Callithrix jacchus: one gene and its partners. The main gene of each other region encodes a partner of the protein of the gene in region 6 in a complex. Links are inferred from orthologs where the notes say so. Each region holds a gene or a part of one and is shown on either strand. Other genes may lie near its edges.

What was found.
Region 1: MYBL1 (region 6) and RBL1 share a complex: the UniProt entries of both Homo sapiens proteins name them as parts of the DREAM complex. The link is inferred for Callithrix jacchus from reciprocal best matches to the Homo sapiens genes MYBL1 and RBL1.
Region 2: MYBL1 (region 6) and LIN9 share a complex: the UniProt entries of both Homo sapiens proteins name them as parts of the DREAM complex. The link is inferred for Callithrix jacchus from reciprocal best matches to the Homo sapiens genes MYBL1 and LIN9.
Region 3: MYBL1 (region 6) and LIN54 share a complex: the UniProt entries of both Homo sapiens proteins name them as parts of the DREAM complex. The link is inferred for Callithrix jacchus from reciprocal best matches to the Homo sapiens genes MYBL1 and LIN54.
Region 4: MYBL1 (region 6) and TFDP1 share a complex: the UniProt entries of both Homo sapiens proteins name them as parts of the DREAM complex. The link is inferred for Callithrix jacchus from reciprocal best matches to the Homo sapiens genes MYBL1 and TFDP1.
Region 5: MYBL1 (region 6) and LIN52 share a complex: the UniProt entries of both Homo sapiens proteins name them as parts of the DREAM complex. The link is inferred for Callithrix jacchus from reciprocal best matches to the Homo sapiens genes MYBL1 and LIN52.
Region 7: MYBL1 (region 6) and TFDP2 share a complex: the UniProt entries of both Homo sapiens proteins name them as parts of the DREAM complex. The link is inferred for Callithrix jacchus from reciprocal best matches to the Homo sapiens genes MYBL1 and TFDP2.

The regions. Positions count from the first base shown.
Region 1 is NC_133506.1:2,224,494-2,228,908, reverse strand, and holds the start of RBL1 (retinoblastoma-like protein 1), read right to left. Parts: upstream 2,864-4,415; 5' UTR 2,795-2,863; coding exon 2,639-2,794; intron 1-2,638. UniProt on the Homo sapiens protein: Key regulator of entry into cell division. Directly involved in heterochromatin formation by maintaining overall chromatin structure and, in particular, that of constitutive heterochromatin by stabilizing histone methylation.
Region 2 is NC_133520.1:22,938,050-22,942,788, forward strand, and holds the start of LIN9 (protein lin-9 homolog), read left to right. Parts: upstream 1-1,803; 5' UTR 1,804-1,893; coding exon 1,894-1,972; intron 1,973-3,120; exon of another isoform or gene 3,121-3,354; intron 3,355-4,739. Other genes in the region: uncharacterized protein LOC144580374, read left to right, coding at 1,366-1,803. UniProt on the Homo sapiens protein: Acts as a tumor suppressor. Inhibits DNA synthesis. Its ability to inhibit oncogenic transformation is mediated through its association with RB1. Plays a role in the expression of genes required for the G1/S transition.
Region 3 is NC_133504.1:114,864,743-114,868,088, forward strand, and holds the end of LIN54 (protein lin-54 homolog), read left to right. Parts: intron 1-366; coding exon 367-568; 3' UTR 569-2,669; downstream 2,670-3,346. UniProt on the Homo sapiens protein: Component of the DREAM complex, a multiprotein complex that can both act as a transcription activator or repressor depending on the context. In G0 phase, the complex binds to more than 800 promoters and is required for repression of E2F target genes.
Region 4 is NC_133502.1:29,094,218-29,098,156, reverse strand, and holds part of TFDP1 (transcription factor Dp-1), read right to left. Parts: intron 2,950-3,939; coding exon 2,843-2,949; intron 1-2,842. UniProt on the Homo sapiens protein: Can stimulate E2F-dependent transcription.
Region 5 is NC_133509.1:109,030,905-109,035,626, reverse strand, and holds the start of LIN52 (protein lin-52 homolog), read right to left. Parts: upstream 3,031-4,722; 5' UTR 3,024-3,030; coding exon 2,993-3,023; intron 1-2,992.
Region 6 is NC_133517.1:22,491,029-22,495,699, forward strand, and holds the start of MYBL1 (myb-related protein A), read right to left. Parts: upstream 2,925-4,671; 5' UTR 2,803-2,924; coding exon 2,744-2,802; intron 1-2,743. UniProt on the Homo sapiens protein: Transcription factor that specifically recognizes the sequence 5'-YAAC[GT]G-3'.
Region 7 is NC_133518.1:42,566,141-42,570,079, reverse strand, and holds part of TFDP2 (transcription factor Dp-2), read right to left. Parts: intron 2,361-3,939; coding exon 2,214-2,360; intron 1-2,213. UniProt on the Homo sapiens protein: Can stimulate E2F-dependent transcription.

The DNA of each region.
Region 1 (4,415 bases), on a different chromosome or scaffold from region 6:
CGGTAGTACATGCCAACAGTCTCAGCTACTAGAGAGGCTGAAGCAGGAAGATCACTTGAGCCCAGGAGTATAAGTTTACAGTGAGCTATGATTGTGCCAATGCATTCCAGGCCTGGGCCTGAGCAAGACCCTATTTTGTTTTTGTGTTGTTTTGTTTTTTTCAGATGGAGTTTCACTCTTGTTGTAAAGGGTGGAGTATAATGGCACAGTCTTGGCTGGCTGCAACCTCCACCTCCCAGGTTTTATTGATTCTCCTGCCTTGGTCTCCCAAGTAGCTGGGATTACAGGTGTACATCACTATACCTGGCTAATTTTTTTAGTAGAGACAGGGTTTCACCATGTTGGCCAGGCTGGTTTTGAACCCCTGACCTCAGGTGTTCTGCCCACCTTGGCTTCCCAAAGTTTTCTGTGGGATTAGGCCCCTGGCTTGATTCTGACTCATTATGACTGTTGGAATTACAGGCATGAGCCACTGAGCCTGGCCAAGACCTTGTTTCTAAGGAAGAAAGAAAGAAAGAAAAAAGAAATAAAGCAAACATTAAAGATGTCGTATTCAACTCTGTCTACCTAGATATTTAGCTCTTCAACCTTTCTTAGTGTTGGGGGTGAGAGGAAAGATTCCAGGCAGAGGGAATAGCATGGATAAAGCACAAAACTGGGAACAAGCTTGTCATATTCAAGAATCTGAAACAGGTGCATGCCATGACCATAGTTTGACACAGTAAATGCTTATTCAATGACAGACCTTCTGCAGGAGAGACCAAATGAGACTTGGGATGTCAGAAATGCTTTCTCAGGCTTTCAAAAATCAACCTGTTTTCAACTGAGAGGCCATTCATTCTAATCTTCCCTACTTTCTTATTCTTTCCACAGCTTTCCAGTCATGCCACATACAGATGCGGACCACTGTCCTTCACCCAGTCTATCCAGTCCTGAAAATACACAAGTCTTTTTCAGGTACTTTTCCTTCATATACAGACACGCATACAGTCAACACATTTCCAACTCTATGCCTTTGAACCCAGCAAGGATTTCGCTGGGTGGGGAGTCAGCAGTGAGCCCTGGGCATGGGTCCAGTCCTCTTGGTACATGAAAGCCTTTGAACATGAGGCCACTGGAGTGCTACATGACATATACTCCATCACAATTCTGTCTACACTGGCCTTATGCTTGCCTGGGTTTCTTTTTCTTTTTTTTTTTTTTTTTTGGAGACAAAGTCTTGCTCTGTTGCCCAGACTGGAGTACAGTGGCATGATCTCAGCTCACTCCAACCTTTCCCTCCCCAGTTCAAGCAATTCTCTTGTCTCAGCCTCCCAAGTAGCTGGGACTACAGGCACATGCTGCCACGCCCACTAATTTTTTGTATTTTTTTCAGTAGAGACAGCATTTCACCATGTTGCCCAGGCTGGTCTTGAACTCCTGAGCTCAGGCAATCCAGTCACCTCGGCCTCCCAAAGTGCTAGGATTACAGGGCTGAGTCAACGGGCCTGGCCTCTTTTTTTTTTTTGAGACAGAGTCTTGCTCTGTCACCCAGGCTGGAGTGCAGTGGTGTGGTCTCTGTTGTTCACTGCAGCCTCTGCCTCCTGGGTTCAAGCGATTCTCCTGCCTAAGCCTCCTGAGTAGTTGTGATTACAGGCAGGTGCCACCATGCCCAGCTCATTTTTTTACTTTTAGTAGAGACATAGTTTCACCATGTTGCCCAGGTTGGTCTCTAACTCCTGCCCTCAAGTGATCCGCCCCCCAGTCAGCCTCCTCAAGTGTTGGGCTACAGGCATGAGCCAACCACGCCCGGCCTGGGTTTCTATATTAGAATAACCCTGGGCAAAGCAACCTTCTGGGCCTTGCTATTAAAACCTGGAAAGTAGGTCTAGTATTCATTGGCATGCCATGTTCACAGGGCTTTTGTGAGGATAAAATGCAAGAATGATGAGGAAAATCGAGTAATTATAACTGACATTTATTTTTTCAGAGCCAGACACTGATAGGAAGCATCAGGACGATGGTCTGACGGAGGGCTGAGATCAGCTTCGTGTGCACATTGGCTCTGCTCAAACTGCTGCTCCACCCTGGTGAAGCAGAGGGTGGAGGTTAAATGGCTCAGATTCTGGGTCTGGCTCCATGTAGAAGTATGACCCCGGGCCCGCAGCTTAACCTGTCTGGGGATGAAGCTGTTCGGTTAACTTAAGAGGAACCTGTCGGCTTCCTCTTGCGTGGAATGAGGACCGCAGAAGGGGTTCAGAGGGAACTGAGTGAGAGGGTCCATTTCAAGCTCTGAGCAGTGGCGCCTTGGCGTGCAAATTCATTTTCACTTTTACCATTATATTTGTTCCTACCTATTTAAGGGCAGCCACGACGTCTGTGGCGCTCGGCAGGGTGGAGGGAAGTGTGGTTAGGAAGCCTGGGGTCTGAGTGGCGCGGGACCTAGGCCGCTCCTTTTTTGGGGCTTCAGTTTCCCGCCTCAAAATGATGGGTGGAATGGCTGGGTTACACCCAGCCTTCCCGCCCCTCGGCGTCAGGCTGGGCAGCGACCCTCGGTGGGGAAACTCCCACCACCCCGTAGGCCAGGGAAGGGGCGGGGCGGGGCGGGGGTGGGGCCTGGCGAGAGTCGGGTCCGGCCGTCCCACCTGCCGCCGCTCACCTCTAGGCTGTAGTTGCCTCGGATGGCGGTGAAGTCGTCCAGGGCTTCGGCCGCGCTCCCTTCGTCCAGATTCAGCTCCTGGCACAGCGCCTGTAGCGCCTCCCCGGCTGCGGCGACCACCGCCGCCCCCTCGGCGTGGGGCTCGTCCTCGAACATCCTTTCAGTCCCCACGGGCGGCGCGCCACGGCCCCCAACTTCTTTCTCTCTCTCGGACGAGCTACCCACAACCACCTGCGCCAAAGCGCGCGAAAATCGGCGGTTGCGGAGCGCCTTGTCTTCCACCGTCTGCCTCCGCTTTTCCTCCTCAAAAAAAGTCCGTTTTTCCTCCGGAGCTCCTAGCCTTCCCTCTCCGGAAATGTGCTAAGAAGACGGACCACAGATCCTGAATGACCTGGACTTGGCCCTTGGCGGATCGCTGGGGGCCCAGCCGGCGGGGCAAAAAAAGAGCGGAGGGATCCACAGCCTGCGCGCAGAGCCTGCTGGGAGGTGTAGTCCATCTCGGGGAGATGAAGCCCGCGGCCTGACCATGTACCTCGTGTAGCATAGTGAGATACCTCCTCTATCCATGGGCCCTGGGTTTGTCACTGTTTCTCCTGCCTCAGGCTCCTTTTTAGAAAAAAGTAACCTCTGGACGAAGAGGGGCTCTTGGGACTCTCCCCAACATCCCAGCGCCCAGTGCCAGTGAGCGGTTCACTAAATGACCGAGGGGAAGGACTAGTGAGGGTTATTAGGGGACGGATCCTGATTTCGTGTTAGTCACACGAGGCGGGCAGAGAGGACTGCGGTAATGAGGCAGGAGAATAGAGTCTGGAGGCAGGGAACCTATGGTTGGTTCACGTGACTTTCTAGAACAAAATTGAAACGAAAACCCCAACTTTCCACGCCTAAGTAACAAAATGACCAGAGGCTATTTTGTTGGACCTTTTTTGCCTGGCAGATGTGAAACTGTCCGCAACAAACCACACTGAGTGCTTGCTCTTCTTCGTTTGCAACTTTGTAACTTAACTTCAGTCTCTGAATAGTTGCTGTCCACAACCAATCAGACTCATTGCTGTAGAGTCTTCATTTGCATAGAAGTATAACTTTGTAACTTAACCCTAGCCTCTGATTGGTTGGTTTCTGCAACCAATCAGAAGCTATTCAATTGTCAAAAAATCCAAAAGTTTGAAAATGTTGCAGCGACTCCCCATTTCTTTGAGGGTTAAGCCAAGCTTCTTGTCCTAGCCTATAAGGCACTAAGGGTCTGGTGGTCCCCTGTCTAACTCTGCCTTCATTTGCTCCTCTCCCCTTTCTCACCCTACGCTGGTCATACTTGTGATTCCTTGTGGCTGCTTTTTTTCCCTTTAATTTGGAAAAATACAAACTCAGTTTTTTATTTAGTGGTAACCCCAATGTTTTAAAAAAGTGAAACATTTCATCCAAATCACTAGCTAAAAGATAATAGCTAAGAATACTTGAACCAGATATCAAAGAATTGGGGAAATGGGGGCGGGCATGGTGGCTCACACCTGTAATCCCAGCACTTTGGGAGGCTGAGGTGGGCAGATCACTTGAGGCTAGGAGTTCACGGCCAGGCTGGCCAACATGTCAAAACCCCATCTAAAATACAAAAATTAGTTGGGCGTGGTGATGGCTGCCTGTAGTCCCAGAAGTGGAGGCAGGAGGACAATCACTTGAACCGGGAAGGCAGAGGTTGCAGTGAGCCGAGATCTCACCACTGTACACCAGCCTGGGCAACAGAGCAAGACTCAGTCTCAAAAACAAACAAACAAAAACC
Region 2 (4,739 bases), on a different chromosome or scaffold from region 6:
TGTTTTTTCATTTCTATTCTTTCATTCTCAAAGGGCTGACCTTTTCTTGATCTCATCTCCAAACTGATGGTGAAGTGCAAGCTGCTGAAGCTCCCCCAGGTGCTGACAAGGAGCAGGGTTTAATCTTCTTAGAGAGCCGATCAGAGGGTGTTTAGAAGGCAAAGGAGAGGTTAAGCTAGCTCTGAAGGGAGGATTACTTTGTAAAATTGAACTTTCACCCTCCCTGCTCTCCCTCCTCTCTTAGCATGGCAGCACCCAGTTACCTAAGGCACAAAGCTGGCAACAGCAATACTACTTCCTTCTCCTCACACCCAGTGACTCACCCAATCCTTTTTATTTTCCACACGTCTTGAGAGGTGGAGTGCATGCTGCCGCCTCTAATACTGTTGCGGTGGTGGTGGTCGTGGCTGGCTGATGGGTGCTAGCGGCTATTAGAAGGCCCTTACATTTATCAAATCATTTAGCCCTCAAAACAACGCTGTTATTATTTGCATTTTACAGATAAGAAACAGAGGCACAGAGAATTCAGTTACAAACCAACGTGCCTGAGATTATACAACTAGCAGCCCATCTGTATTCTTCCCATTGAGGCCGCGGGGCTCCAGCGCCACCTCTGCACCTACCTCGCTAGCTACCAGCGCAGGCATCTCTCAAGTCCTTTGCATGCCCCAAATAAGCTTCCTCCTGACTGGTTTCTAGGCTCTCATCTTGTCCCCTACCAATCCATTTTCCATATTTTTGTTCTAAAACACAAATAGAAACATGCCCTCTCTTTAGGTAAAACCCGACTCTTCCATTGCTCCAGTGGACTAAACAAGCTCAACTCCTTCCCCGGGTGGGCCTCTGTGTGGCACTCTGTCATCTCAGTCTACTGCCTGTTAACTTTGTAGTTCCTGGAATTCACCCAAGTTGTCTTTTGACTGCTTAACTGTCTCATTCCTCCAACTCCCGTAAGTTCCTAGAGAAAAGAATTGGAGCTCAATGACATTTGTTAAATGAATTTTTCAAAAGCAACAGTATTCTATTACTGGAAAGTGTTACAGACAGAAATTGTGAAATTTTTCCTTGGGCTTCTTTCAATTTCGTTGAATTCTCGTCCAGTATTCTCATAACATTTGGATCAGGTACTTTATCACCTTGTAGTGTCACTGTTCCTTTCTGTATCCTCTCGAAGCCTCCTGTTATTCGTTTCCTAATTCTCTCCCAGCCCATTGCACGATCTAGTGTGGAATGGATGAAAGAGCAGAGCAGAACAGTTCTTCAGCTGTCGGCCTAAATGACTAACTTCATGACCTCTCAAGGTCTCGCTCCACGGCTGCATACAGCTCAGCTTCCAACATTCGGGAGAGGCGTCCCGGGCTCGCGATGGACCGCGGGGCCCGAAGGTCGCGACGCGCAGGGGTCTGCTGCGGCCAGAGCTCTCCGGAAGAGGGAGGCGCCCGAGCAACGTGGGTTTCGGGAACCGTGAATATTTCACTTTGCGTACAGCCCCCTAGGGCAATGACACCCAGAACCGAGGGCTTCTTTACCCCTGCCAGGGCCTCCCTCCCGTTCTCCAATCGGAACAAACAACCTGCAGTTCCCACAGCTGCAGCGCGGGCCGCGGAACACGCGACGGGCGCGGGGCCCGGGCGGGACTCCGGAGCTGGCGCTGCTCCCCCCGCGCTCCGGCGCCGGGCTTCTCCGCGCGGCCTCCTTCCTCCCGCCCGCTCAGCTGGAGGCGGCGGCGGAGGGGAAAGGCGCGGCCCCCCCTCGGTGGCACCTCCTCCCCGGACAGGCGCGGACGGAGCCGAGCCCGCCTAAGCCGGCTGCGGCGGGAGCAACGCAGCGCGGCGCCGCGGGCAGCGAGCTCCGCATTCGAACCTCCCTCGCAAAGACAGTCTCCGCCCCACAATGCACTGCGGCGGGCAGCCTTTGAAAAAGCGGCGCGGCTCGTTCAAGATGGCGGAGCTCGACCAGTTGCCTGACGAGAGTGAGTAGCACCTCAAAGCACCCCCACTTCCCGCCCGCCGCCTGCTCCGCGGCTGCACCGGCCGGGACGGCCGGCTGTGCCCTCCGCTGGGCAGGTGGGCTGACTGCCAACTCCACCGTGGTCTCCTAGTCCTTCCACTCCGGTGTTGCCGCCGCGTCGCCGCCTTTGTTATGGTGTCTGTGTGTTGGTTTCTAGGGTTGTGTGAGCGCCAGGGCCGGAAACCGAGAGCCCGGGAGTCCAGCCTGTGCCGGGCGGAGGCGGTGGCTGCTCCCCTGGCCCGACTCCTGCCCCCGGCCGAGGTGGGGGTTAGAGCGGCCCCCGGGCGTGGGGGCTGTCCTAGCCGCCTGCACCACTCGCCCGGCGCGGAGAGACGCTCGCCGGGGTTATGTAACTCGCCTGTCCCGGGGCCGGGGGAGGGCTCGGGCTCGGCACGGGGTGGTCCACGGCCCCATCTTCTTGCCCCAGCCTCTGATGTTGTCCTGTCACAGCTCCTGCTTCTACGAGCACTTCTGATCTTCACTGTCCTCTCCGCCCGCCCCCCCCCCCACCCCACTGGTGTGTCCACCCCTAGAAGTGTTTCCGTGTCAGAGGGTTAGCCCCTTCCCCTGGGACCACAGGTGGCTGTGGACCTTTCCCGAGATCATCCAGCCCGGATACTTAGTGTTCAGGTAGCCCCCGTCCCGAAGACTTTCTTCTGTATGTGTCTTAAGAGCCATAATGTACCTTTATTTTGCATGGATGTGACCAACACAGCGTACGTGTGCAGTACCCTCCCTGACACCCACTCTAGGGCATTGCCTCATTTAACCATGTTTACTCACCCTGACATCTAAGACATGTATGCTCACTTGTGTTGAGTAAGTAAAAGCACCAATTCCATAGTTTAAGGGCAGTGGAACTTGATTTTGTAATTTACAGCATTGCATAAATTATATGAAAAATCAAATATGTTAGTTAATTACAAAAAGGTCCTGAATCCACATTCACTATTCAGTTTATACATATCTGCGAAAGGCTCAATCACTATTGAATCTATCTGTGTACAAGGCAAATGAGAACTCAGCATACTGCCGATTCCATTTTCTTTGTGAGGTCATGTATTCTTAATAAGTTGTAAAGTTAGGGGCCGGGCGCGGCGGCTCACGCCTGTAATCCCAGCACTTTGAGAGGCCGAGGCTGGTGGATCACGAGGTCAAGAGATCGAGACCATCCTGGTCAACATAGTGAAACCCCGTCTCTACTAAAAATACAAAAAATTAGCTGGGCATGGTGGTGCGTGCCTGTAGTCTCAGCTACTCAGGAGGCTGAGGCAGGAGAATTGCCTGAACCCAGGAGGCGGAGGTTGCGGTGAGCAGAGATCACGCCATTGCACTCCAGCCTGGGTAACGAGAGCGAAACTCCGTCTCAAAAAAATAAAAGTTATGAAGTTAAAAATTTAAGTTGCCAAGCTGGTGAAAAGTTGTATTAAAAGTGTTTGTGTTTTAAATTTGATAGAAAGCAGCGCCAAGTCCCAAAGGAACTTTGTCGGTGATGGAATTGTTTTCTTTTGTGATATCCCATAAGGTAGCCAAGCCACATGTGGCCATGGAACATTTCATGTGGCTAGAGGGATGGAGGAACTGAATTTTGAATTTTATTTAATTTTAATTTGCATAGTCACATGTAGCTAGTGGCCACTGTATTGGATAGGGCACAGCTGTTGACCAGCCATGAGTTGTATTGTTTATTTGTAGAATACAATTGATTGTGATTTAGAATGTTCCCAAATGAGTGTAGACCTACTAAGCACAGTGTTCTTGTTATCCAAAAATGTTTTTCATCATCCTTGCTATCTTTATCATAAAGATGTCTTATCACCTCTTGGTGTCATGATCACTAGAGCCACTATTTTGGTTAATGATAGGCATTTTAAGTGGCTTTCTTACAATTGCCATCAGGAATATTTGCTTCATATCATCCAACATTTATTGACAATTTACTGTGGTTCTTTGTAGGAACTTGAGATTTATACTAGGGTTCAAATTCCAGCTCCACTCTAAAATTAACATAACCTAATCACTTATATTGCTTTATGACATCTCTGGTACATTGGTGTGTATTTGTGAAGCATATGTCTTGTTTAGCCAGACTTCCGCTCTGTTGAAACCAGGGATTTTCTTTCATTGTTTGTCATACAATGCCACAAGTCAAGTATCCATAAATACTTGATTTCTATGGAATTGAATACAAAGTAACAGGTACTATTAATGAAACTGGAGCCGGGTCTTGAAAAGGAAAAGCAATTTCAATATGATACTGGAAATAGAAGTATGTTTTTTGGCCACATTTAGTCAAGGGGGCTAGCTAATACCTTATCCAGTAGTTGATACATTATCAATAATGAAAGCTACCATTTATTGAGTATTTACTGTGAACCAGATGTCATGCAAAGCATATTATATGTTTTTGCTCATTTAATCTTGATTTCAGTTGTTGTAAGTACTCACATTTTATATGATGAAATCAAGGCTATCTTCAGCCCAGATCTTTCCTGAGCTTCCTTTTTTGATGTCTTGCCTATTTCACATTTCTTCTTAGATGCTTCAAAGGCCCCTCAAAACTGCACAGGTTCAAAATCCACCTCATTCCCACCCCAGGACAGATACTTCTAGTGATTCCTGTATTAATGAATGGTTCCACTGTGCAGTCACCTGGCAGGGCAGAAACCTAGAGATTATCTTTCGCACCTTCCTCTCTTTCTTTTTTTTCCCCCCCTTTTGAGACGGAG
Region 3 (3,346 bases), on a different chromosome or scaffold from region 6:
GTAAATAAAGATTGAACTTACAGAGGAGCATACATTCATGATTTGGAAAGGTTTAGTTAAAGAAATTCTAGTCTTCATGTAGACTGTATCTTTTAGTTACCACATAACCTTGCCTAGGTAATACGTCAGGTATTTTATATTAAATGTTATATTTCCTGAACAATATTCTTACAATATGTGAATAATAAAACCAGATCTAACTTGTTAAAGCTCTTTTTAGGATGTGCTTGTGCTCACTGTGTAAATTGTGATGCTCATCCTGCTAGTGAACTGTGAAAGTGTCAGTAGAGATTTCCAGATGAAAGAATGTTACCCACTTTTGTTGTTATTCAACACCACCAATTTCTCTCTCAAAAATCGTTTCAGATTGCCATTTACATTTGTAACTAAGGAAGTAGCTGAAGCCACATGTAATTGCCTCCTTGCCCAGGCAGAGCAGGCAGACAAGAAGGGAAAATCAAAGGCAGCGGCGGAACGCATGATACTTGAGGAATTTGGACGATGTTTGATGAGTGTCATCAACTCTGCAGGAAAGGCAAAAAGTGACCCTTGTGCCATGAATTGCTAACTCTTGCACAAAAGAGTGATAAATGGAACTGTTCAGGAAATTTAAGGTGCAGGGACACTTGATTTTCTGGAAGAAAAACAATTACTGTATTTTAATTCAGTCCTTGTTGTAAAAGACCTGAAATTATACTGAAGGAGAAGAAATTTTAAATGAGGAAATTAGTACATTTTAAATCTTAGTTAAATCTGCTTATGCCCTTTCTAAATTGAGTTTTTCTTTATTGTATTATATAGATTTTTTAATTTGCTTGGGTTTCTTAAGAATTAGATGTTTTCTTTCTGATACCTTTGACAAAAAACGTTTATAAATGACTATAATTTATAATGTATGGTGTTGTATGACTTTGTTAGTAGAAAAAGCCAAAGCAGCAGTGGTTAGCACTCAGTTATTCTTTGGGACTTGATCTCGAATATATGCAGATAGAATGTTACATAAACAAATTCTTACGAAACATATTCAAATGACATTTTTTTTTATTTAGAAAAGCACTATCTTTTAAAGAAAAATCAGACTTTTAGGGCAGATTCTGGAATAATATCCTGTTGTCTCTTTGGGAATGTCAGAAGGGGAAACAATCCCCAGGCACACTTTTAAAATTTTTTTAAGTTATTTTAAAAAGACATATAAAATATTAAAGGACAGTAAACAATTCTCAGAGGATGAGCAGTGTGTTTCTATATAATAAGGAATGGCTAACAGATGCTCTCGGCTGTCTCCATTTTCTTTCAAAGAGGTAGTATGTATTTAAAGTAATAAATTGTCAAAGTGGTTACTGGGTACTACTAAAATGATAGGTGCATAGAAATAGAAGTAAACATATTATGTAGTGATAATATAGAACCTCCCATAGTAATCAAGTATAAAATTTGGCATGGGTGGAGAAACAAAGAATTTGGAAGCTGTAAAAGATGAATTTAGAGAAGTTTTCATCTATACAATCAGTTCTTTTTATAGACTTTTGGACTAAGTTTTCAAACCAATTCGTGACTCTTATTTGATGTACAGAAATGGGCCTCTTGAAAAAATTTTCAAAATTGTAGTGGGATTTCTTTTTATAAGGGAAGTTTAATATGGCATTATTTTCAGCCAGTGATTTGGTAAGGTGAAGGACTACTCTTTTCCTATATTTACTAAAATAAGCTAAATCATTTTCAGTAATTCAAAAACTCTATGAATTTAAGAGCCTGTTGTGATAAATCAGGACTTCTGATTTTATAAGAAAAAACCATGTTGGAATTCAGGCATTTTATTAGGTACCTTAATCATCAGTAATTAGTGTATGATTATTGCATTTCCTACAAGGACTCTATAGTTGTATGTATTAAGTGTGTATATATGTTCATATGAACTCACAAGATATAGGCAATAGAAATTAAGTAATCTAAAAGAGGATTCCGTTATTCACTAAAGTATCTTCCTTCTAAATTTGGATTCATAAAATCACAGTGCAGTAACTTTAAATGTAGATAGTGCAGACATTCTTAGCACCTCAACGTAGTATGTTTAATTAAAATTTGTATAAATGTAAATTAGTGTAAGAGGACAAAATAATTAATCAAGTTATTTTTCAAAAGATTGCAATAAGTTTTTGGTCTTAACCTAAACTTTGTTCATTTTGTACATACTCTGTGTTAATTCTAACTGCACCTTTGTGATGTGTATTTATATACAGTGTGCAGAAAATGTTTGTGAAATTTTGATTACAATTGTAGATTATGTATGATGGCATTGCTTACGAATGTTTTGCTTGTAAAAAACTTCAAGGTGCAATCAAATGCTACTAGTTTTTCTGATTTTCAAAAATCTATCTAAAATATGAAGCCTTTTCCTTCCTGTGTAGTACTTACTCAACTTTTTGTATTCAGGCATTTGCATCAAATTGCTGAACAAGATAAACAGCCACATTAATTCAGTGATTTTAAAAGACTATTTGGAGAGGGTTGGGTATATAATTTTTTAGCTCTATTTACATCCCAAAGTAGAAAGATTAAATTTATATTTACTAGAGCTATTCAAAGAATACACTTTTCTATATTGTAAAAACAGGACAGCAAAGTAAATCATACAGAAAATAAACATTTATACTATTCTGTAAAAAAAAGGTATTGCATTTTTTCTTTAGTTTAATAACATCACTTTAACCATTTAATATGCAAGAAACCTTTTAAATTATCTGATGAAGTAAATGTTACATTACTTCTGAAAACACATAACTAAAAAGTTCTATCATTTTGCTCAGTTATTACTAACATAAATTGCTTTGAAATGAGAATGTCTTCTCTTTCTTTCCACTGTTTCTTTTAAGAGTAGAAACTCAGCCAGGCATGGTGGCTCATGCCTGTAATCCCAGCACTTTGGGAGGCCAAGGTGGGTGGATCACTTCAATCCAGAGGCTCTAGACCAGCCTGGGCAACAGGCTGAAACCTTGTCTCTACTGAAAAAAAAAAAAAAAAAAAAAAAAAAAAATTGGTGTGGTGGCGCATGCCTGCAGTCATGGCTACTCAGGAGGGTGAGGTGGGAGGATCCACCTGAGCCTGGGGAGGTTGAGTCTGTAGTGAGCCAAAATTGTGCCACTGCACTGCAGCTTGGGCAATCAGAATGAGGCCCTGTCTCAAAAACAAAAATACCCAGAAAATCAATCTACTATCTCTCTTTTAATGTGAGATATTCTTTTTTTTTTTTTTTTGAGACGGAGTTTCACTCTTGTTACCCAGGCTAGAGTGCAATGGCGCGATCTCGGCTCACCGCAACCTCCGCCTCCTGGGTTCAAGCAATTCT
Region 4 (3,939 bases), on a different chromosome or scaffold from region 6:
AAAACAGCAATGACAGGCTCCACCCAAACAGGTGAATTTAAATCAGGAACTTGACTTTCAATGACGAAGTTTAAAGCACGTCAGTAAGATCATCTTCCATTCATTTTCCTCCCATGCATCGTACCGGCAGTAAGGACAGAAGTGGTGCTACAATTATTCACCAAGATAAACTCACCGATAAAATCCAACTTAACAATCAAACTAATTATAAAGCAAAACCAGGGCCGGGCGCGGTGGCTCAAGCCTGTAATCCCAGCACTTTGGGAGGCCGAGGCGGGTGGATCACGAGGTCAAGAGATCGAGACCATCCTGGTCAACATGGTGAAACCCCGTCTCTACTAAAAATACAAAAAATTAGCTGGGCATGGTGGTATGTGCCTGTAGTCCCAGCTACTCAGGAGGCTGAGGCAGGAGAATTGCCTGAACCCAGGAGGCGGAGGTTACGGTGAGCCGAGATCGCGCCATTGCACTCCAGCCTGGGTAACAAGAGCGAAACTCTGTCTCAAAAAAAAAAAAAAAAAAAAAAAGCAAAACCAAAACTGAATTTAAGCTTTTATCAAAATGGCATTTACTGAGAAGCTGTGATCAGCTGTATAACATGGTAGGGCTTTCACAAACCGCCCCTTTCAATGGCCACAAAACTTCTGCAGAGCAAGGTTTTGTCAACTTTCACTGGCAGAAAAGGGGCCACAAGAGCTGCCTGGGATCTGGAAGTGCTCACTCAGGACAGCTGCGCGCGGCACACACGGGGGCAGGGGGCTCGGCGAAGCGGAGTCCCATGCAGGTCCCAAGGCTGCGACTCACAAGCCACTCTCTCTTAAAACTCACATCCTAAGATCTGTTAAAGAACAGAGAATTTCAAGTGTATTTAAATAAACGGAAATAGCAGGAATGCATATCAAGTAAAGACTGAAGTACGAAAATGACCAAAACACCCCTGGTGTGTGCTCATCATTCTCTGAAGAAAACAGGATTAGACCACAGGGAGACGCCCTCGACAGCAAACAGCTCAGTACAGAGCTTCCCAATGGGACTGTACCCTCGACAGCAAACAGCTCAGTACAGAGCTACCCAATGGGACTGTACCCTCGACAGCAAACAGCTCAGTACAGAGCTACCCAATGGGACTGTACCCTCGACAGCAAACAGCTCAGTACAGAGCTACCCAATGGGACTGTACCCTCGACAGCACAACAGCTCAGTACAGAGCTGCCCAATGGGACTGTACCCTCGACAGCAAACAGCTCAGTACAGAGCTGTCCAATGGGACTGTACCCAATAGGACTGTACCCTCGACAGCAAACAGCTCAGTACAGAGCTACCCAATGGGACTGTACCCTCGAGAGCACAACAGCTCAGTACAGAGCTACCCAATGGGACTGTACCCTCGAGAGCAAACAGCTCAGTACAGAGCTACCCAATGGGACTGTACCCTCGACAGCACAACAGCTCAATACAGAGCTGCCCAATGGGACTGTACCCTCGACAGCAAACAGCTCAGTACAGAGCTGCCCAATGGGACTGTACCCTCGACAGCACAACAGCTCAGTACAGAGCTACCCAATGGGACTGTACCCTTGACAGCACAACAGCTCAGTACAGAGCTGCCCAATGGGACTGTACCCTCGACAGCAAACAGCTCAGTACAGAGCTGCCCAATGGGACTGTACCCAATGGGACTGTACCTTCGACAGCAAACAGCTCGGTACAGAGCTGCCCAATGGGACTGTACCCTCGACAGCAAACAGCTCAGTACAGAGCTGCCCAATGGGACTGTACCCTTGACAGCACAACAGCTCAGGACAGAGCTACCCAATGGGACTGTACCCTCGACGGCAAACAGCTCAGTACAGAGCTGCCCAATGGAACTGGGACACCGAGGACGCCTGGGGACACCTGAGGGACAGGAGCAGACAGGTTCTCATCCCACCTGGGGGTGTTAGATCCTTGTAGGAAGACAGGACCACAGCATGGGCGGAGCAGGGTGAGGGGTGCAATGGATCAGGAGGCCGGGGTGCAAGAGGCGCTATGTCCCCACAGCCCAGGGCCGGCGGGAGCAGGGCCTCAGCACCATCACAGGACCAGGAAGGAGCCTCAGGCCCCATAAACCAGTCCCCAAGGAAGGACTGGAAGCCCGTCCTAGCCTTGGGGTGGCAGTGTCCCGCGCCAACAGCTCCACTCACAGCCAAACCTGCCCACCCGGTGCCTGGGGCCCCATTTCTGGTGAGGTGAGGCTGCAGGATTCTCGGATTGGCTCCCACCATCGAGGATGCAGAGGGCGGACAAGAGACAGGAAACAGCATTGTCAGAAGCAGCATCAGCTACCAGCAGCGGCCTGGGGAAGGGGGATGCACCACCTCCCGATGCCCAAGCGCTCCTCTCCTGTGTGCGGCGAGGCAGCAGCATCTGCTATCACTGCCCCAGGGCCAACGCACGGCTACGGCCAGGGCCCTACCCCTCCCTGGCTTCCAGTGTTGCCAGGAGGGCCAGGGCCAATATTTGGCCTCAGCACTTCAGAAGCCCTTGTTAGATAAGAGCTATGAGCTCTGACACAAAGAGGAAGCTGCCTCTGGCCGGGGCCGCGACCCCATCCACCTCCCGCCAGTTACTGGAAGGATGGTATGGGCACGCAGGAGTGCAGGGGGCGCCATCACCTCTCCCACAACAGCACAAGGGCAGCTGCAGAGGGCCGTGGAAAACTGAGCACTGGCCGTGAGCTCCCTGATGAAGGGAAGGCCCACGCTGCCACCAGAGCCCAAATCCAATCACGCCTGGGAACGCCCCCAGCCACGCTCATGCAGTCCCGACCCCACCCAACTGTCCACTCCTGTGGGTGCCTTACCACTTGCTGGGCAATGTTGACATTGGACTGTCCAAAGGTTTTTGGCAAGAGCTGCTTCCCAAGTGGGTTGACAGTGGAGGGGTGAACGGCCACGAGGGACACCACACCTGCAACACAAGGACACCAGGTCAGAGGCAAGACTCCTTTTCCAAATTCAGGCTAAAAGTAGCCGTTCTAGCAAGACAGCGCTTCGAATCAGAGACACTGAGCTTTCCCCACTTTTACTGTCTCAAATCCATGGCTCAAGAGCAAACACCTCCACGGAGCCTATTTCTCAATTAAAACCGTAAGTGGGGGCATGCTGACACAGCCCAGGGGACACAGGCTGAACATCCACTGCTCAGGCCTTGGCAACATCTGCTACAGAACGTGCTGGTGGCACCATGGCCTGGAAAAGTCTGATTCTGACAATTATGGAGCAGAATTCCAAAACTAGAGTTAATTTTTATCCCAATATTTCTCTATATGGCTGCAAAATTAGTTTGGAAATCTAATAATCCACTTTCCTCAGAAAGGAGAGCCACAGTTGTTCCTAGAAAGGAGTGTGCCTTCCATGGAGGCTGCGCCTCTAAACACACAGTGCCCTTACAAAGGAAGTGGGGAATGCCTCTGCAGGAGACGTGAATCCTCTCTCCTCCAACAGCGGTACGCAAAAGGTCCAAGGGACGCGGCAGTGGGTGAGAGTCACGCAGCATTCACACAATAAATAGTAAAATGAAGTGTAATGATAAAATTCCAAAAAATGGCATCACCGAGCGGAGAGAACAGAGGAACCCATAAACCAGATGGTAGTGAGCACCCTGGGAAATGAGGTGGTCAGCGCAGCCCAGGAGTGGCGTCAGGGCGCCACACGGAGGTAGGTAGCGGACAGCCCCCCATTTGAAAATACACAGTACCCTCAGGTGAAGAACAAGACAGACTCTCGGGTCATGACAACATCAGGTGAGGAGAACTCCCTGATCTCGTCATACCTCGGGCCTCTAAAAATGCCCAGTCTCCCAAGACAGCCGCCCGTCTGGAGCTGCAGGGCCCTGGACCTCCTCACAGGCATCTCCCTCCATTCCCACCAGTCAGCAACAAAATGACTTACAGAAAAT
Region 5 (4,722 bases), on a different chromosome or scaffold from region 6:
TGTTCGCCAGGATGGTCTCGATCTCTTGACCTTGTGATCCATCCACCTCCGCCTCCTAAAGCGCTGGGATTACAGGCGTGAGCCACTGCACCCGGCCGTGAAACCCCATCTTTACTAAAAATACAAAAATTAGCCAGGTGTGGTGGCATGTGCCTATAATCCCAGCTATTGGAGAGGCTGAGGCATGAGAATCACTTGAACCCAGGAAGCAGAGGTTGCAGTGACCCAAGATGGTGCCATGGCACTCCAGCCTGGATGACAGTATGAGACTCCATCTCAAAACAAAATAAATAATAACAAAAATAAATTAGCTGGGCATGGTGGTGTGAGCCTGTAGTATCAGCTACTTGGGAAGCTGAGATGGAATGATAGCTTAAGCCTTTCAGTGTGCTGGGAGCTATAATCATACCACTGCATTTCAGCACCGGCAATAGAGTGAGAGAGACCCTGTCTCTAAAAGAAAATTTAAAAAAAAATCATTGAGGGTAGGATCTATAACCTACACCGGTGACCTTATGATACCACAATCTGGGACAGAACTCTGCTGTGAGTCTTACTCTCACAAATTAAGTAATTAGATGGCTGTATTTGAATTTCAGTTTTCTCCTTTTCAAAGAAGTTCCAGCAAATTTAGCATGAAAAAGACAAAAGAGTAAATAAAAAACATTTTTAAATCAATATTGTTTGAATTAAATTTTAAAGACAGTGACAGGTGGAACACTAAAAATAGAAGTGAGAGAGCTAGGCCATGGAATATTTTAGAATGAGTTACTTATTTAGAAGATGAATTTAATTAAGTTCAAAGTGCTCGACTTGATTTTGTCAGATTAAAAAGAAAAGATTAGGTGGAGAAGAGTGAAACTCTGTAAGAGATAAGAATGAAAACTTAAAAAATAAAGAGTGCAAATAAAGTGACCATAAAGATGGCTAGAAGACCAAAGGAAAAACATACAATGTTTTTAATACTCTTCCTGGCCAAAGAAAGGAAACTAAATTGAGAAGACAGGGGAAAAAATCCAACTCAAGAAACACATCTTTAAAATCCCCCAAATCTGTAAAAACAATTTAAAAATAAACTAAAAAATTTAATAACAATTACCTCTACTTCTATCACTTGGCTTTGTTATTTTAAATTGTGGTGAAATATACATAAATTTGACCATTTTAACAACTTTTAAGTATACAGTTCAGTGGTATTAAGTACATTAATTGTGCAATCATCAGCACATTCATTTCCAGAATGTTTTTCACCTACCTAAACTGAAATTTGGTACCTGTTAACAGTAACTCCCTATTCCCTCGCCTTGCTTTTTAAATGCCCTTCTTTCTGGCAAGAGAAGGACATTTCAGCAAGAGAGCACCCAGGCAGGAGACTCTCTTTTGACTCCAAACATCCATAATTTCTTTTTTGTTGTTGTTGAGACGGGGGTTTCGCTTTGTCACCCAGCCTGGTGCAGTGGCATGAACATGGTTCACTGCAGCCTCCACCCCAGGGCTCAAGAGATTCTCCTGCCTCAGCCCCCCAAGTAGCTGGGATTACAGGTGTGTGGCACCATGCCCAGCTAATTTTTGTATTTTTTTTTTGTAGAGACTGGGCTTCATCATGTTGTCTAGGTTGGTCTTGAACTCCTGAGTTCAGGCAATCTGCCCGCCTCAGCCTCCCAAGATCTTAAAACTTAAGATCAAGTAATATATTATTTCTGCATATATCTAATCAATCTTTCAATAAATGCTAATTAAAGACCTACTGTTCACCAGGCACTGTGCTAAACCCTGGGATCCAACTATAAACAAGACAAACTTGAAATTTATAATCTAGCATAAAAGGGGCAAAGTTAACAGAATTACTATGCTGACAAGGAAGACACTGAGATAATGAATAATGGTGGGGAAGAGCGACTCCAGATCCTGTGTTCTAAGAGACTCTTTGGGAGGTGACATCTAAAAAAAGATCTGAAATTGAAAAAAAAATATTTATATGTTTGAGTAATCTTTTGGAATCTCAAAGCACCTAGCATTATGCGTTTCATGTAGCAGGTACTTAATAAAGCTCACCTTGGCTTCAATTTCCTCATTCCTGTAATGAACTTTCAAGATTCCTTCCAAATACAAAATGTGTTTGTCTAAGGGAGGGAAACCTATATATCAATGAAATCGATATATATAGTTGGGATGGGAACGACAGAAACAAAAATGAGTTTAAAAATGACTGCAAGACCCTAACTCTCTAAAGCAGAACCGAGACCAAAAGCATAGGAATATACCAAGACAACCTAATTGTTACTTGAAATGACTTGCATTTTACAATACATAAACAGAAATCGTTCATTCACTCAGCCTGAAGAAACAACACAAAAAGCAGATGCAAAAGAGGTTGCGACCTGTGCAAGACAACACTTAAAAGCTCAATACTCATTCTCCTCGCGACTCTCACGGTGAGGGGCCGAGAACGTCCCCCGATTATCTTGCTGCCACGGCAGTGGTCCCAAACAAGAGACAGGAGAGAGATCATGTTTCTCTTGCGGTTCAGTATCGAGATGAGGTCAGCCAGCAGCCACTGCTAGAGTTTGTGAGAATCGTTCCATCCCTGCGCTCAATCAGAAGAAAACTGATCCCTCAGTGTGATACTCCAAGGAGGAGACTAGTTTAAGGCACGTCCTTTCCTCCACTAACATCTCCTCCGAGGCTCTCAGCCTCACCCAAATAGAGACAAGGAAGGATCAGGGCAACCCCCTGTCCTTTTACCCAAAGTGAGTCCCTCCCTGGTGCCCTCCTCCACACGCCTGGTACAGAGCGGGGAAACTGGGCACCTCCGGAGCCGCTGTGAAGAACCAGTGAGCTGAAGACGGCGATGGATCTCAAGAAAAAAAGTAAAAGGGAAAGGAGAAGAGCCCAAGAAAGAAATGTATGTTTGAGGGGCAGAGACAGAGTAGACGTTGCCGGTAGAGCAAAGAAGGAGGCTGCAGGCAAAGATCTACAAGCCGGCTCTTACCGTCTGTGGGAGACGCCATCTTCCAACCCATGTCACGTGACATGGCCAACCGTCGGCGGGAAAACGAGGATCCATAAGCCACTCCCCCAAAGAGAAACCCTATCCCCAACTCACAGCCTAGTCTCATTCCCTCGCCTCATAGGGCAACATTTGCCTATCCCCGCCCCTAATTATAGCCACGCCCCTCGCGCAGTTGTTGAGGTGGAGCGACTGCAAAATTCTTGGAGGGTCTTATTTACTTTTCTCGGTGAGAGGGCGGGGCCTCGGTTGCGCCCTTGGCCAATCGGAGTTCCGGGTTAGGGGGCGTCTTCCCCGTGTGCACAGTATGGAGTGTCCAAGTCAGGGGCGTCTTCTCTACCTCCGCCAACAGCATTGGCTGAAGTGGGAGAGGGCGAGACCTTTTTCGCTCCTGACCAATCACTTATTCACAGGACTGGCGTGTGAGGGGCGGAATCAGGTGTTGGTTCGCGTGACTGGCTGGAAAAAATAGTCCTACCCACCAATGAGGAAGCCAGTCAGGATGGAGGGCGAGGCCTGGCAGCTGTAGTGCTTCTGAGCAGTAGAGGCGCAGGGTGCGGAGCTAGGGAGGCCGAGAGCCATGGCGGCGGTGGTGGCGGCGGCGGCAGTGCGAGCCCGGATCCTGCAGGCGAGTGAGGGTGGTGCCAAGGGACCATGAAGCCAGGACTTAGATCTTTTCCGTCCACTCCGTGAACCATCCTCGGGCGGGACCACCTTTTTGGCCCAGCCCCTTTTTGGCCGGACCTCGTGTTCCTACGCGACCTGTGCGGCCCTGTCCCATGCGCAGCTCTCACTTCATACCCTACCTCGTCCCGGATCCCACCCGAGCTGTTACTCTTGGCCTTACACCCTTTTACTCCTGAGCCTCCTCTTTTCTGGCTCTCGCCCACTCTCCTCCAGCCCTGCCCGGTCCCTGCTGTCACTCTCTTGCCCTCACCACTCCATCCGTCCACCGTCTTTCCTTTTCACCTCTGCACCAGCCTTCTCTCTCTCCCCCGAGAACTACTCTTTTTGATTACTCTTTCCCTGCCGTGAGCGTCCACGTTGCCATTGCTCCCTTTCCCCACCCTACTTCACTTTCCTTGATCCGAGGTAAGGGGGAGAGGGGATGTGAGGGGAGAGGGTAAGTGTATGAACTTTGAATCTCCTTCTAGACGTGTACTCCAGGTATTCACCAAAGGCAGCCATTTGCAAGCTATTTTCCCCAAGCGTGGCTCTTTGTATTTTCCATAGACTGGGTTGTGCCCTTTCTTGCCAAAACTTTCAGCTAAACTTTCTCTCAGCTAAGTTACAGTTTACATAGATAGGGCACATCTACATAGGGTAGATGAGGGCACATAGTTAACGCTACCAGTGTGTTCCATGTACGTTCAAGGTACTAAACATCTTTAAGACAGGTGATAGAAAGTGGGAGCCAAGTAAGACAAGAAGTCAAAGTTCTCACCCCAAAATCAGCTCTTCTAGTGCCACACACCCTCATCATCTCTGCCTTTGGGGGATTGATTCCTCTCTGAAGCCAGCCAAAGGAGAAATGACAAAGCTACAGGAGTTGCATGCCTGAGGCCTGTAATCTCCAACTCTGTTTATATATTCTAGCAAGGATTTAGAGTACAAGGCAAGATTTACTGCAGGCAAGAAACAAATCTGCAAGAAACAACATTGCCCTTCTTAATCATTACATCCAGTCTGAGAATTTCCCCTATATTGCTGGG
Region 6 (4,671 bases):
AATGAGAAAAGATTACAAAATGTCTTCAAATATATATATTAAAGCTAGAAACTACCTTACAAACCATAAAATCCAAAATCCGTATATTAACCAGATGAAAAACTGAGGCAGAGTTTACCTGCTTCCCCAAAACAACACTGCCAGTTAATGACAAAACCGATTAAAAGATCAGTTCTCATATTTCAGTATAATTTCACTCCCACCCGGTTTGCTGGAAACAACACAGTAAAATTGCTTCCTACACACACACATATACATACCACTGAAAAAACATCTTCTATTTCAAGAGCTGGCTTTTATCTTTTCAGTTAGTGCAGTCACAGGTCATCTCAAGTGTAAATAATCTATTACTAGTAAATACGTTTCTAAATATTTTATAAAAGTTTATTTTAAAGGGTAAAACTTTTAAATCTAAAATTAATTATGTATATATAAATATGCTTAAAAGTCAAATATATGTTAATAACAGACATATTAATTTTAGTATTGCCTGTAAATTGTCATTACAACTCCCAGTGGGATGTAAAATTATTTAAAGTCACAATACAAATAAGTCTTTTCCTGTATGTAAATCTAGAGGAGAGATACTACAGCTATCTTAAACAAAGATCAAAACAACCAACATCCTGCAGTTGTTTCACACTTGAGGTAACACTTAGTCTTCTACTTTGTTTTTTGTTGTTGTTTTTTTTCCAGATCACATAGCATAAACATGTATTACAGGATTTACGCCTATACTCTTAGGCAAAACTTGTATACAGCGAACTATAGTTTTCACTTGAATGCTTACATGGTTGTATACTGGAGATCTCAAATTACAACCTGAAGTAACTGAATTATTTCTTTTCCCTTTCAACTATGAATTGAGTTCAAATATATTAAGACACTTAGCTAAAAGGCAAGAGATATTTTTCCCAATGACTATTTTTGCTTCAAAACAATTCACACTCTAATTTGTTTTTTGTTGAAGCACAAAGCAGAGCATCTACTATCTTCTAAGATACGTAAATCATATTTACACATGCAAGAAATGTAGACTATGCAACATATTCGGGTATGAAGACTTAAGAGACGTATCATTCAGAGATGATAATGTATCCCCACATCCTCTATCTGTATACTCCCAGGCAGAATGTAGCTTCACCCCACCACACTTAATTACTCCAGATTTATACCTCTTTAAATCATTCTATTGTGTTTAAATTAACTTATACAACTGGCAAGAAATAAATGTCAAAAATATAATTAATATTTAAATTTCAAGGTCACAGTATTGTCAATAAAACAACTTATACAGGGAAACTAACATTAAGTCATTTTTCCTTTCTTTGTCTATTATTACGAAACATGCACTACATACATAGGAAATGGACAGAAAACCCACTGGGAAGGATAAAGTTCTGACATTTAAACATTCATGTTTACCCAAAATTTTAATTTAACTAAATGCTGATAGCAGAATGAGCCAAATAACTGTTTCAAATAAAATTAACATAAATACTGATAAGTAGATAATATCAAACATTAATAAATTTGATATATTCATTTGTCATCTTAATAATTTTTAATTTTTTATATATTTAAAAATTCAAAAAGCCTAAACCGGTACTTCAGCAATCATAATTACAAGAGCTTTAAATATCTATCTTTTCTGAAGACTGATGTTAACTGGGTCCTTGAAGTTCTAGAGGGGTGGTTCTTTCCTGGGTGCTTTTGTCCCCCGAAAGATATCTGGCAATGTCTGGAGACATTTTTACTGTCATGACTGAGGTAAGTGGAGTGTTACTATCTCTACTGGGTAGAAGCCAGCGATGCTACTAAACATCTCCCCGTTACATAGAATTAACTGGTCCATGATGTCAATAGTGCAAACTTTGAAAACTGTTCTAGAGGGATCTGTGTATAAATTTATTTCATCTCAAGGGTTTGTCCTATAACTTATTACAAAACTAATAAGCTTACAGGGACTTAAAGATTTCTGCAGAAGCATCTTGCACACAGCAGATGCTTAACAGACAAATAAAGCAAAAAACTATTATGTATAGTTACTGCCGATTTTTAGCAGAAATATGCAGTGAATGACCTCCATTACTAAATTTCAACTTAGGAAATACATCACTAGTTAAGACTTTAGGGCTGTGGATCTAGGTAAGTAAAATATTTGGAAAGTCTGCCAAACATCTTTTCAGGTTTATTTGATAATGCTGAAAATCAGAAGATACCCTGTATTTTTGTTATCTGAGTAATTACTCCACATAATTTATGAGTAGCTGCTGTAATGCATATAAATTCATCCTAGCACATTTTCCAGGCCCCCCCCCCCCAAAATATGCCTTACCTCTGTGCAACACTTAGATACGGTCAGAGCCAAACACAGACACTCAAAATATTAAGTGAATCAAACACATTGCTTTATTTTAACATCAAGCTACTAATAGTAACAATGTGGCATGGTCCCAGTAGAAAATATTAAAATATACATATATACATAAAGCTGAGAATATGGGTATGGGAATTACAGAAAACATCAAAAAGGTCCTCTCAGCTATTCCCCAGAGGATTTTCCACAACGTTTCGAGGTAGCCAAGTTGGCAGAAGGGTGGCCACCCAGGTTCACCGCGTAGTTCCTATTTTGACTGTACGGTTATTCAGAAGAGTAGCCGGAACACCATTTTCAAGTCCTCCCGACAGGACAAAGCCACTTTTCTCTGCGTAGCGAACTCCCTAAAAGCGCTCGACTTACCTGGCAAGAAACCTGCCTCCAAGAAGTGGCAGCGTGAGGACTGGAGTCTGGACGCGCATTGTGGGGAGAACCACGGAGCAACCTGGGCATCTCTTACGCCCCGCGTCTCACACCCTGGTCCCCAACTCTCCACACATCGCGGTCGTGCTCCGGCCATCGAGGCGGCCGCGGGAAGAAAAACCTCTGCCCTCGCCGGGGAGGGCCTTATGGCGGGAGGGGGCAGGGGGAAAGGAAAGAGAATCTGAGCCGAGAAGGCGCCGACAGGCCTGGGCAAAAGGGGTGCCACCCACCTGCGCGACCTCTTCGCCATCCTTCAAGTACCGCATAGGGGCGGGCTGGACGGGGACGCGGGTCAGCCTCCTCTAGCCTCCGGCGAATGCTCCTTCTCCCTGACCCTCTAGCCGCTTCCCTCGCTCCCTCCGAAGGCAGCCGAGTGCGGAACGCAAGTCCTAGGCAGGGTGCGACGGAGGGACAGCGGGGGCGGACCGCGACCCGCTCCTGGCCCCTGCCCACAGCGCTGCTCCTAGCCCCGGCCCGGCCGGGCCAGGGATGCCCCCAACATGTCAGAAGGCGCGCTCCCGCCCTCCGCCGGCCTATCCCACCGCTTCTCAGCCTCCCCGCCCCGGTCCCAGCGCGACTCCGCCACAGGCGCCGACCACCGCTCTCTACCCGCAGCTAGCAGTTCTGCAGGGATCGTAGTTTCCTGCAGGGTTTTGTCCGCACCGCCGAATCTCGCGCCCAGCCTCCCTCAAGAGCCGCCGTTTGAATCTGCGCACGCGGCCCTGAACCTCATTGGCTGTGGGGGCCGCACGCGAAGGAGTGAGGGCGGGGCAGGGAGAGCGCGCGCGACTGAGGGCGGGGCTGGGGAGCTGGAAGCCGGGACTGGAACTCGCGGGAGCCGGGGAAGGAGCCGGGAGCCAGTGGGTGGGGCTGCGGGTGGGGCGCGGGTGGGGCGCGGGCGGGGCGCGGGCGGGGCGCGGGCGGGGCAGGGCGATCGAGCTGTCATAGGACCCGGAACGCGCCGAGAGGCGCACCGCGCAGGGCCTGCTGGGAGAGCGAGTTCCTGCGCTCGCCAGGAGCGGGTCCGGAAGCGGCGCCAGAACCGTCCAGCCGCCCCAAATTTCTAGGGTAAGCGGACGGAGTTTCTGGCAGAGTGAGTGGTCCCGCTTCCCGGCGGGAGTAAGTCTCTGCAGCCTCGCCTCGGCCACGTTCCTCACTCCTTACGCGTCTCCCTCCTCACTAGTTAGGAGGAACGGTCTTCTGACCCGAGACAAATGTAACCACAAATTTGCGCGGCCGTTATTTTTTAAGCAAACATGTGAGCTATTTTTACCCAGACGTCATAGCTACGAGAGTGACGAAGACTTTGGCAGGAAACCAAGTATCGTCTATTTTCCTCAGAAAGCAGCAGAAGCGTGACAAGTGAAAAAAGTTCCTAGTGGGAGACGTGCTTGAAACGGGAACGGGAGATAATCCTTGGCTGCCGTTGGTCCTCGAGGTGCTCAATTTCGTGCCCAGCTCTACGGGAAATAACGTGCGCGGCGGAGGAGCCCGGTACTGGAGAATAACGCGTGAAGACGGCAGTGGACTGGGCATTTTGCCCAGACGAATGAGCATGGTAGTTAAAGTGTAGAAGGTGACCTTCCTTCCTCTGGAGAGACTAGGGAGGGGGGGAACCACCGGAGGAGTTTCTAGCGGTTGCAGCTACTCGAAGTTCCAAGTCTAATAACTACAAACTGTTCAAGTAGCATTAAAGTAGATTTGCTACAGTAACAGTTAGAGTCGGATAAGGATCTAAATTTGCAAGGCAACATGGTCTACTGCATAGAGCACTGAGCCACATGTTAACACTGTAACAAACTGACACTTGCTATTTTGAAATTTTACGCATCATCTTTTGCAAATCAGATGCAGGTGCAGAGTGAATT
Region 7 (3,939 bases), on a different chromosome or scaffold from region 6:
TCCGTCTCCAAAAAAAAAAAAAAACAAAAAAAAAAAAACCCAACAACAAACCACTGAAGAACGTTAACCTCTTCTGCTCAGCTTATCGGAGGAACACTCTTTCTACTTAATAATGAGGTGTTACAAGATTCTAGAATCACAAATAAAAGCCAATTAAATAGAATCTTTAAATTTGTTACCATTTTGTCTTTCAATCATGAAATGAAACATTTTTCTCTCTGCTCCAGCAGATAATCTCTTTGCTTGCTCCCATCCAGTCTAGTGTGTACTAGGAGTTTCCATTCATGGTTCCTCTATCCACTACCATGCTTTACTCCTAAATTAAGATTCACTGGAAAATTTGTGTGGTGTTCTGCATTTGAAAAGATGTTGTAGGAGCATCCCTTGCATCAGAAGCTCTGACAAGCCAGGCCCCCCTACCTGTCCCTCATCCAACCAGGTCAAGCTGCACTGATTCCACCTCTAAAACACCTCTCCAATCTCATGGCCACTGCTGTAACTCAGACTATCTAAATTCCCCTCCTTCATTCCATTTCCTTCCCTATCTACCTATTAATTTTACTTTCAACCCACTGGCAGAGTGATCCTTTAAAAAACATCCTATCAACCCTTCTCTTTGTAATTTATCAACTGCTTCCCATTGTTTACAGGATCAGGCCCCCACTGCTTAACACTTAGCTATCTGTCCCCCTTTCTCCATGCCTGTTCCCTGGCCACACCCAGGTCCAGGTATGCTTTTTCATGCCTATCTCAGTCCATGTAGCACCTTTGCCTGGAAGGCCCTCCCCACCCTTATCCACTTGGCAAACTACTCCCATCTCATGCCTGAGCTCATGTATTATTTCCTTGGTAAAGCCCTCCCTCATCCCTCTTTGCAGAGAATCTGTACATTTCTTTTACAGGAATAATCACATTTTTAGTAACTCTTTTACATTTCTCTTCTCCCCAGTTGGAATGACAGTTTCTTGGTGTCAGAGATTTGCCTTGTATAACCTGTGGTTAAGCACAAGGTAGATGTGAATAGGTTTTTTTGCTTAATGAGTCTGTAGTATTAGCTCAGTATTACTGATCATGAAAATGATGCTCAAATTCCACTCTATCACAAGGAAGAAAAACAAGAAAAGGTTATTTCCACTCTAGCATATAAAAAATATTCTTTAGCTTCTGATGAATCTCTGGTTTCTTTCTCCATCCAGAAGTATAATACTAAATAACTTATTTGCTGGGGGGAAAAAAGACTGAGAAAAACAGGAAATCAATCTTAATGATCTCCCAAAGCTATATAATAATAATTATTTTTTTTTTTTGAGATGGAGTCTTGCTGTTGTCACCCAGGCTGGAGTGCAATGGCACGATCTTGGTTCACTATAACCTCCGCCTCCCAGGTTCAAGTTATTTTCCTGCCTCAGCCTTCTGAATAGCTGGGATTACAGGTGTACACCACTATGCCCAGCTAATTTTTGTATTTTTAGTAGAGGAGGGGTTTCATCATGTTGGCCAGGCTGGTTTTGAACTCCTGACCTCAGGTGATCCTCCCGCCTTGGCCTCCCAAAGCGCTGGGATTACAGGCTTAAGCCACCGTGCCATATTTAACCTCAGTTTACTCCATTTATGGCCATGATAGCAAAATTATGTAAAGTCAATTTAGAAACAGTATGTCAGGGAACATGTTCATTTAGGGAGAACTTCCTATAATGTTTAAAGTTAACAGAATTTAAAATGCTTCTGCACACATCATTCAAAAATTCTATCAATTCTGGCAAAGACACAAATGAAACGCCATTTATTCTGTTGCTACTAGTTCTAAAGTCAAATGCAAAAGTCTGACTTTCATAGCTGTAGTCAGAATATTGTGTAACCAATAAAGGAAATAAACAGCCAGCTTGATCCATTTTTTTTTTATACATACAGCCAGCATCTCATTAAAAAAAGTGTACTAGTAGAGCACTCAGGATTAAATTCGAATAAAATAAAAATCTTCTCTAAGAAACAGAAAAATCAAATTGTTATTTAACTTTTATATCTCTCTGTTTCATCATTTACCAATTAAACTGTAGAATATACCAATTCTAAAATTCTATAGTCTGTTAAAAAATGACATAGTATACATGAACAGTTGAAAATTTTATATTACATGAGCATATTTTTAAATTAAAATGCCTCTGATGTAAAATAATGCAAACAGCTATTCATAAACAGATTTTCTCACTTACCTCCAGATTCTGACATTCCTGAGCAGAATTGGTAGGTAGGCCAATCCACTTAATTTCTTTTTTTTCCTTTGAAATTATGTTCATTGCCATTAGTACATTTAAAGCATCATAAACTCTTCGCCTAATGTTCTTCTGATCGTAAGCCTGCTAAAAAGTATTTTATTGAGTGATAAATTTTAAGGGTTAAGTCACATGATATTAACATATCAAATTAATACTACATCTTCAAAGTGCTGGAATAATTCTATTTTTTTATTTAGCTAATTGACGAAGACATCCAAAAGAATTTTATATTCTGTGAAAATATCCTTCAAAATTAAAGATGAAATAATATTGTTTGAAAATACTTTCAAACAATATAAAACAAAATAATCTTAAAAATAAAGATCATGTTACCCACAGATCTACACTGAAATATACTTAAGGGATTACTTCAGGTAAAGAAATATCATCTAAGATGGGAGCTTAGAGATGAAGGATAGAATGAAGACCAACTCAAAAGTTAAGTATGTGGGTAAATCTCAGTTCTCACGGTATAAAACAATAATCATGTCTTATGGAGTCTAGAATAAATACAGAACTTAATATACATGACTACAAATAGCATATATATTAACTGAAAAAGGTATTGGAGGTAAAGTATTCTAAGGCCTTGCATTGTCTGAGAGGATTTTAGACTTTAAAAAAATCAAGGACACTTATTCAAATTCTGGACAAAACTGTGCTTCTCAAAATGTGTTCCTTGAACACTGCTGATCTGCAAACTGTTTCCAATTTACAATGAGACTCAGAACTTGCACCAAAATATAATCCTCTATGTCACAAGGGACACCATTCAGTTCAGCTGACCTTTTCTTTCTTTTTTTCTTCTTTTCTTGATAGCAAGACTTACTCAATGAAGGAAACTGTTGGTTTACATTGTGGAACAAAGTCCTCATGAAATGTAATGATAACAAAGGATGGAGGAGAACACTGAATCCACCTAAATATAAAACTAGATCTAAATAAGTGGGAGATTTAAGTTATAGAACTGAATATACTAGACATTTTGACACTGGGCTGGGAGCAGTGGCTTATGCTTGTAATCCCAGCACTTGGAGAGGCTGAGGCGGGCAGATCATCTGAGGTCATGAGTTCAAGACCAAGCCTCACCAACATAGCGAAGAAAAAATACAAAACCTAGCTTGGCATGGTGGCATGCGCCTATTATCCCAGCTACTAGGGAGGCTGAGGCAGGAGAATTGCTTGAATCCAGGAGGTGAAATTGCAATGAGCCGAGATTGCGCCACTGCACTCCAGCCTGGGTGACAGAGTAAGACTCCATCTTAAAAAAAAAAAAAAAAAAAAGGAAATATTGACATTATAGAAAAAAATGATACTATAAGAAGTACCAGGAGGAGGAAATGCAGTAGGTATGCCAATTTCCTCTTTTTGATACTGGAAGGGATACGGATATTGTTCAAAGCAGATTAAATAATTATAAAAGGTTCAGCACGATCTGTTGATTTAAAGTAATACAAACAATTCTAATAGTATTATTATTGTTTTTCCGAGACAGAGTCTTGCTCTGTCACCAGGCTGGAGTGCATGGCACCATCTAGGCTCACTGCAAACTCTGCCTCCTGGGTTCAAATGATTCTCCTGCCTCAGCCTCCCGAGTAGCTGAAATTATAGGTGCGTACCACCATGTTGGCCAGGCTGGTGTCAAACTTTTGACCTTGTGATT